Linked DNA regions of Kluyveromyces lactis. The protein of the gene in region 2 purifies or fractionates together with the protein of the main gene of each other region. This does not show direct contact. Links are inferred from orthologs where the notes say so. Each region holds a gene or a part of one and is shown on either strand. Other genes may lie near its edges.

The links.
Region 1: the proteins of RPA135 (region 2) and KLLA0_C09394g purify together in Saccharomyces cerevisiae (affinity purification with western blotting; 4 studies listed by BioGRID, with this or other methods). This does not show direct contact. The link is inferred for Kluyveromyces lactis from reciprocal best matches to the Saccharomyces cerevisiae genes RPA135 and NET1.

Annotation. Positions count from the first base shown.
Region 1 is NC_006039.1:816,363-820,832, reverse strand, and holds the start of KLLA0_C09394g (uncharacterized protein), read right to left. Parts: upstream 2,909-4,470; coding exon 1-2,908. Other genes in the region: chromatin-associated RNAPIII regulator FPT1, read right to left, coding at 3,455-4,339. UniProt on the Saccharomyces cerevisiae protein: Has a role in chromosome maintenance and is involved in mitotic exit. Inhibits the action of CDC14 by sequestering it in the nucleolus. Also binds to RNA polymerase I and stimulates rRNA synthesis.
Region 2 is NC_006038.1:556,470-560,828, reverse strand, and holds the start of RPA135 (DNA-directed RNA polymerase I core subunit RPA135), read left to right. Parts: upstream 1-1,437; coding exon 1,438-4,359. UniProt on the Saccharomyces cerevisiae protein: DNA-dependent RNA polymerases catalyze the transcription of DNA into RNA using the four ribonucleoside triphosphates as substrates. Component of RNA polymerase I (Pol I) which synthesizes ribosomal RNA precursors.

The DNA.
Region 1 (4,470 bases), on a different chromosome or scaffold from region 2:
TGATAGGTTTATTAATAGTTTTCTTAGGCGGACCTGTTATGGACGCTTTCCCAACAGCGAATTTATTCCGTAGTTCGTCTAACTTTGATGCTCTTGATGGAGAGTCAGGTGACTGTACACCAGATTCAGCAGCTTTTTTTGCAGGTGTGCCGTTGGCCGAAGATTCGGTCTCTGCTCTCTCAATTACCTTGGGGGTTATATCTCCATTTTTCTTAGTTTCTTTCGGTCCTTTTTTCGTTGTAGATTCAGCTTTCTTGCGAGCAATCTCCTCTTGTCTCGCTCTTTTGGCAGCTTCTCTTTCAGCTCTCTTTCTTTCTTGCTCCTCTTGTTTTGCTCTTCTAGCAGCTTCTCTGTCGGCCCGTCTTCTTTCCTTCTCTTCCTCTTTCGCTTTTCTGGCTGCTTCTCGCTGTAATCTTCTTTGTTCTGCTTCTTGCTTCTTTTTCAATACGGATGGTGTTATTTTCTTCAGTTTGATGTCTTCGCTATTTTCTTTGTTAAAGGAGGGTTCCGTGTTTTCTTTGTTATTTTGGGATCTTTGGGATAATGTTATATTCTCATTTTCAGCATCACCATCGGAATCCTCTATGAACTCAGGGGAGATATAATCCTTTTTATTCCTAGTAGGGGAAGGCGAAAGCTGGCGATCTATCTTATCATGTAGCTGCATCGAAGGCGACGGCGTCACTTCCTTGGGTGTATCAACAGGCTTCAATGTTATTAGCCTCGAGCTAGTGACTTTGGCAGGCTGGGAAACACTCTTCATTTGGTCGACCTTACTTTCTGATTTCTGTGGATTTTCTGAACCAGCAGCTTTTCCTTCCTCATTTCCTGGTTCATCAGCACTTTCGCTTTCTTCTGAAGAGGATGATGATGAATTAGCTGAATTTGTCTTGTTAAGCTCATTTGTATCCTGAGTTTCCTCAACCGGTACCATAACTGGTCTTAATGGATGCACATTTAGTCTTTTGAGGTTGACTTCATCCATGCTATTATCACTATTTTCTGTTTCAATGTCACTATCTGAAGATGGTTCTTCACTAACGACTGCAGAAGAAGAAGAAGAAGAAGACGAAGACTGCAACGGTCTCCTTGAGGTTCCTGTAGAGATGAATTGGGCTGCTTTTTGAGCAGCCTGTCTTGGGAGCTTTGAAGGTAGGATATTTCTTGGATCAGGTTCACTATTGTCGATATCTTTGTTTAATACCGTAAGATATGGTTTTCTCGATCGTTTATTAATATCATTTTCCTGTAAAGCTCCAGCAGCTCTTCTGAAGGCCGGAGGGACATCGAATTTAGACCCCTTCAATAATTCGAGCAACTCGGATTTCTGGAAACTACCATCCATTCGGTCAGTTGGATGAATGCATACAGTATCATTGGCCTCATTTTCACTTTCTGCATTTTCAGATTCCGATTCACTGAACCCTTCTTTTCTCGTAGTATTGCTTGATAAATGGTTATCAGCTACTAGTTCTGATGCATTTTTAGCTAATTTTTCCACTTTCGCCTCCAAAGAACTTTTCCTCTGTGGTGGAAGGTCAGCTACTTTGACATTCATGCGCTTAGTAGCATCTAGAGGACTTTTCTTTGTCGGAGAACCGTTATCATCGGCAATGGATGAAGGTGCACGACTCTGCACACTAACTGGCAATGGAGCTTTTGAGTTGACTCGGACCGGAACGCTTTCTTTGTCTTCAGTAAATTCTCCTTCAGAGCTAGAGGAATCGTGCTCGTCAGGAATATACTGTTTTTTCATTGGAATTTTAGCTGACTTAGGTGGCAGAAGGCCAGCAGCTGGAGAAGAAAGACCTTCATGCATTGTTCTTTCCATCTCCGAAATCCTGGGTTCGGGAATGCGTAGCATTCCTGAAGTAATCCTTTTATTGGTGACCACCGGAGTAGAATTAATTCTTAACAAATGCTGTGCTTGCTGAGGCATTGCTAAGAAACCTGGTCTATTAGGTGTCTCTATAACGTTCATTGGTTTCATTGGAGTGCCTGATGGTAATCTTTGCTGTTTAGCTTTACTTGGATCGACTGTTTCTGATTTTGACACAGTATCTTCTGAGCCGTTAATTTTCAATCGTTTTTGCGCAATACTTGAACTTATTCTAATTGGAGGGGATTGAGGAACAGTTGGAGGTGGTAAAATGGATTTATCACCTATTTCATCATCCCCATACTCATCCTCTTCATAGTCAGAATTTACTTGTTTCGGATTTCTTTGACTCGGAGGAGGATAAATTTGGTGCGCCAAGGGTGTAGATATCCTCAATGCAGAGTTTTTTAATGCTTGCGGTCTCCTTTTTGCAACTGTTACGGGTTGATCTAATGTTGCACCTGTCGAGGTGTTTTGTTGAGAGTTCCCGTTATTCAACTTTCTTCTCTTGGAAGAGTATAATGATTCTTGCCTATCTGGATTAGATTCTAAGTCAACATCATTTCTTAAGATTACGCGAACTGTATTGTAAACATTGAACACATCTTTTACGACAAAATCAGGATCCAAATCACATTCATCTACATCTTGTAAGGTATCGATTTCTAATTCTGTTGATAAATTGGGGTAAATTTTGTTACATTTGTCTAATATTTCCTGCGAGAGCTGATATAACGTATTTGTTGGTTTCGTAAATATTAAGAATTTTTTGAGTTTCGGTCTTGTGATATGGGAGGTCATAAAACTGGAAAGATACGCTGTATTTGTTGATACATTTGGGTCTAGAGCCCCAATTCCATTCTGAGCCGGAATATTATTCGCTAATTGGGGAGCATTTCCTCCCTGTTGCAGAACCTGTTGTTGGACAGGCAGAATAAACTGAGAGGATTCTGATGATACAGAAGGTAAACCAAAATTGAAACTTCTATTAGCGCCCGCAGGCACCAACACAACTTGCAACTTAAACATTGCAAGAAAACGATCACACCTGTTTGAGTTTATAAAAATACTCTTGCGACCAGTTCAATGGAGTTGATTTCAAATTGTAACCCCAAGGACACTGCCGATAGATACAACTGTCTCGACTATTTGTTTTTGTTTTGTTCTTTGTTGATATAATTTGGTTCTCTTCATTTATGAAATGTTCAACTTTAAAATAGATAGAGGTTTTGACAGAAATGCCGCCTTCGTTTAATATGATTTGAGAAGCTAAGCGCTATTGTATTATGTACATAAGGCAAACACGTAAATATGTTAATGGTTAGTGAATAATGATATGGAGAAGACCGCAACCTGAGGGCCTGTCATTCCTAACATCAGAGATTTTAAGTAAGATTCCTTTTTTGATGGTATCGTTTATTTTCTTTTTGTATATTTTAAATATAGATGTTAATGTATCAAATAGATGAGAGCAACTTCGTCTTGAGATATCTGCATTCAGTTGGGGGGTACAAAAGAGGCGCACTGAACCTAACAATTCGAGATCGACAAATTTGAGTAATAGAATTTTTATTTTTAGTTGATAGACATTCCGTTCCCCTTCCTAGCAGGTTTATGGACCTGTCCGGCAGGTGTTTTTTTATTCTTTGCAAATGACGGCAACCTCAATGATCTCGTAGAAGGTTGTCTTTCCGTGTCATAGGTCTCGAAATTCTCAGCCATGGATTGGAAGAAAGTGTTGAAGTTTGATTGAAGTTGGGTTGATGGCATATGTGTGTAATCAGACTGAAACGTTATATTTTTATTAGCTTTAGTGGAAGCGGAAGGAGGAGATGAAACTGGGCTGTTGTCCTGATGGACTTTAACATCATACGATAGAAGGGTAGAGCCAAGCTCTCTTTTATTAAGGTCAACCATAGATCTAAGCAGAGAAAGAGCCATTGATGTTTTAAGCTCATAAGGATCAATTGGTTTCTTCAACTCTCTGGCTTCAAAAAATATCATAAGGTCAGTGGCAATAGAGTCCCAATCGATCTTCATGGTATCCCTAATGTTGAACTCTTTAAGTAGGTTTCTGACCATGAAGATATGCTGTGAGTCTTTCAATGCTTCAACTAGACGATCAGGTAAGTCCGTTAACGTATTACTGCCGTATAAAGTTGCTATTGCAGAACTCAACTTCCATTCTGAACGTGATTTCCATAAAGAATACGTATCTTCAGCGACGCAATATTCTAAAATGTAAAACGGCTTGTCATGATCGTCAGTATCATCACTATGCGAATTGGACTTTATCTTTAAGTTTCCTGTAATTGTTTCCACAGCTCTTAGTTGCAGCTGAAACACATCTTGCATCCTATGTAAATACCTTATTATCTCTTCAATTCGCGGCACGTTCTTGATTTTGGTAAGCTCGACTTTCGGCTTATTTTCACCAGCATAAACGTATATCTTATCCATTTCTCCCAATGACTCCAGTCTATTGTTATCTTCGAGTGCCACCTACAGTTATTCACCTAATTGATTACTCTCTTCTTTTTGATTACGTGTCTGTAGTGGGTTCAAGCAATCTATATTTGAATATTCACGTT
Region 2 (4,359 bases):
TTTTTTTAACATTCCCTTTTCAATGTGTTTTTCCTTTTTCTTTGCGAGCATAAACGATAGGGTTTTCTGAGAAAACCCCATTGGTGAATTTCCAAAAGACGTCATCCTGTCATGTAGTTTTCTTTGGCTTTGTTTCTTTTGCTCGGCAGGGTTTCGAAACTCTATAAGACGGAAATAGAAGCACGTGTACGTCGGTTCAGAAGGATGCCATTTTGGAGCCTGCAAAGCTCAGAAACTCCAGTAGCTGGAAAGGTAAACAAAAAAAAAAGGCACAAGAAGGACCAGATCGACACAATAACCGCATACTGCTGGGGTTAGCAAAACGGAAAACGAGAAGCGATTTGGGAAATTGTTTGAAAATACGGGAATATGCGATGTACCTTAGTGTAGATGGAAGGTGTTCATCTGTTTGCTGTTTGAGACAGGAAGTCTCCAGTAGACTTTTTTCCTCAGCTACATACCTGCACTACTCAGTTTGTGAGTGTTCTTCTTCCAAGAAAGACCAGTTCAGCAGTAACTTTTAGTTCTAGATTTGCGAAAAGCCTGACAGATTAGGAAGGGTTTAATACCGCCAAGAGTTTAAATGTTGCTGGGACCACACCATTTTTTGGTACCTTTTTCTCCTCGTTTAACCTCATTTGCGAAGTGTTGGGGGAAACATTTGCCTTATTGGTACAGAAAAGAATTCAGTAACATGTATTGTTTTGGTTAAGCCGTGGGTGGTTTTATATTTGGAGCTCTTTCCATTCTTAGTGTGTTGATCTTTTTTTTTATTGTTACTGGCGGCCAGAATTTGAAGTTGATGCTTCGAATGACGGAGAAATGGTTGATGGAAAAAAAGGAAAAATGAGGGGGGTAAAAAGAAAGCCCTGTGGGGGGCTCGAACCCCCAACCTTGTGATTAAGAGTCACACGCGCTACCGATTGCGCCAACAAGGCAGAATTGATGTCTGGTGGAGTCCTTTGCTGACTCACATCAGAGACGGTCGTCATGTGATAATAATAATAATAATAATTCATCATTCTTCTCTTTTTTCTCACGTGACTTGCGAGGAATATCAAACGGACGTGGTGAAAAAGAAAAGAAAGAACTTTTGCAAAAATTGAAATATCAGCTTTTGAAAATTTTCAGCTCATCTCATCTCATCTATATCTAGATTCTTTATTCACTACAGTCTAATTGACAAGCAACAACATTCAATTAACTAAAATACTCTCTCTTCTAAGCTTGAATTCCATTGTTTCGAGGATAGCTTGATTTTATCTTCAAACAGCATTTTCGATTACTTCAAACCGAAAACCATTGTGCCTTTTTTCACTGTTCTGACCTAATATACGTTATCTGCTCTATCATAAAACCGGTGGCTAATATTCGCAGGATTCATAGGAAGCGGGACAGTGCTAATAATAATACCATTAAGATATATCAGCTGTTACCATGTCTTCGGTTATTCTTCCTCCACAAGCTCCAGTTGAGCGTTTGAACAGAACTGCTAGTTTCAGGACTTTGGAAAGAGAATCAAGATTTATTAATCCTCCAAAGGATAAATCTGCATACCCATTCCTAGCGGACGCTGTACAGCCACACATTGGCTCCTTCAATGCATTGACTGAGGGACCTGATGGTGGTTTGTTAAACCTAGGGGCAAAAGATATTGGATCCAAAGTTATTTTCGATGGTAAGGGATCGGACACTAACCCAAACTACTTGGGTAACAAATTATCTTTGAGTATTGAACAGGTGTCTATTTCTAAACCAACTTCTAACGATGGTGTTTCTTCTGCAGTAGAACGCAAGGTTTTCCCATCTGAATCCAGACAGAGATTGACTTCATACAGAGGGAAAATTTTGCTGAAGTTGAAATGGTCGGTCAATGATGGTGAAGAAACTTTTACTGAAGTAAGAGACTGTGGTGGTTTGCCAATCATGCTTCAGTCCAATAGATGTCATTTGAACAAGATGTCTCCATACGAATTAGTCGAACATAGGGAAGAATCTGATGAATTTGGTGGTTACTTCATTGTTAATGGTATCGAAAAATTGATCAGAATGTTAATTGTGCAACGTAGAAACCATCCAATGGCTATCATTAGACCTTCATTTGCTAACAGAGGTGCCTCCTACTCCCAATATGGTATTCAGATTAGATCCGTTAGACCAGATCAAACATCTCAAACTAACGTCTTGCATTATTTAAACGATGGTCAAGTTACCTTCAGGTTCTCTTGGAGGAAAAATGAATATTTAATTCCAGTGGTAATGATCTTAAGAGCACTATGCGATACCAATGATAGAGAGATTTTTGATCACGTTGTCGGTGGAGACACCTCTAATTCTTTCTTGACAGATCGTCTTGAATTGTTACTACGTGGCTTCAAGAAGAGATACCCAACTCTACAAAACCGTAAACAAACTTTGCAATATTTGGGTGACAAATTCCGTGTTGTATTCCAAGCCTCTCCCGATATGACCGATCTGCAAGTCGGCCAGGAACTTTTAAACCGTATTGTTTTAGTTCACCTTGGTGAAAACAACAAAGACAAATTCAACATGCTATTATTCATGATCAGAAAACTCTATTCGTTGGTTGCTGGTGAATGTTCCCCAGATAATCCTGATGCAGCTCAACATCAAGAAATTCTATTAGGTGGGTTCTTGTATGGTATGATTGTCAAGGAAAAAATTGAAGAATACCTACAAAACATCAGGTTACAAATTCAAACAGACATAAATCGTGGGTTAGCTATCAACTTTAAGGATCAAAAATATATGAACAAGGTGCTTATGAGAGTCAATGAAAACATTGGGTCAAAATTACAGTATTTCTTATCTACTGGTAATTTGGTTTCTCAATCTGGTCTAGATTTGCAGCAAGTTTCTGGTTACACTGTTGTGGCAGAAAAGATTAACTTTTACCGTTTCATTTCTCATTTCCGAATGGTGCATAGAGGTTCCTTCTTTGCTCAATTAAAGACTACTACCGTTAGAAAGTTGTTACCGGAATCCTGGGGTTTCTTCTGTCCGGTGCATACTCCAGATGGTTCTCCTTGTGGTTTATTGAACCATCTTTCGCATAAATGTAAAATTTCTACTGAACAATCAGATGTTTCAAAGATACCTTCCATCTTGTACTCTCTTGGTGTCACTCCAGCTGCACACGTCATTGCTGCTGGTCCTTCCATGTGTTGCGTTCAGTTAGATGGTAAGATTATCGGTTGGTGTTCTCACGAACAGGGTAAGGTCGTTGCTGACACTTTGAGATTCTGGAAAGTGGAAGGCAAGACTCCGGGTTTGCCTGTAGACTTGGAAGTTGGATATGTTCCACCTACCACTAGTGGTCAATACCCCGGTCTTTTCCTCTTTGGTGGTCATTCTAGAATGATGCGTCCGGTGCGTTATCTTCCATTAGATAAGGAAGATATTGTGGGTCCATTTGAACAAGTATATATGAATATTGCTGTGACTCCGGAAGAAATCGAAAATAACGTTCATTCCCACGTTGAGTTCTCTCCAACAAACATTCTTTCTATCTTGGCTAACCTAACACCATTCTCTGATTTCAATCAATCTCCAAGAAATATGTACCAATGTCAAATGGGTAAACAAACCATGGGTACTCCTGGTGTGGCTCTATGCCATCGTTCTGATAACAAATTATACAGGTTGCAAACCGGTCAGACACCAATTGTTAAGGCTAACCTCTACGATGATTATGGTATGGATAACTTCCCTAACGGTACCAATGCAGTGGTTGCGGTTATTTCTTACACTGGTTACGATATGGATGATGCAATGATTATCAACAAATCGGCTGATGAAAGAGGTTTTGGATATGGTACAATGTATAAGGTGGAAAAGGTCAATTTGTCTATGAACAGAAGCCGTGGTGATCCAATTACCCAGCATTTCGGATTCGGTACAGACGAGTGGCCCAAGGAATGGCTTGAAAAGCTTGACGACGATGGTTTACCACTGATAGGTACCTACGTTGAAGAAGGTGATCCAATTTGTGCATACTTTGATGACACCTTGAATAAAACGAAGATCAAAACTTACCACTCTTCTGAACCTGCATATATCGAGGAAGTTAAATTAATTGGTGACGAATCTTCAAAATTCCAAGAACTGCAAGCAATTACCATTAAATACCGTATCAGAAGAACTCCTCAAATCGGTGACAAATTCTCTTCCAGACACGGTCAAAAGGGTGTCTGTTCTAGAAAATGGCCAACTATTGACATGCCGTTCAGTGAAACAGGTATTCAACCAGATGTCATTATTAATCCTCATGCTTTCCCATCTCGTATGACAATTGGTATGTTTGTCGAATCTCTTGCTGGTAAAGCAGGTGCATTGCAT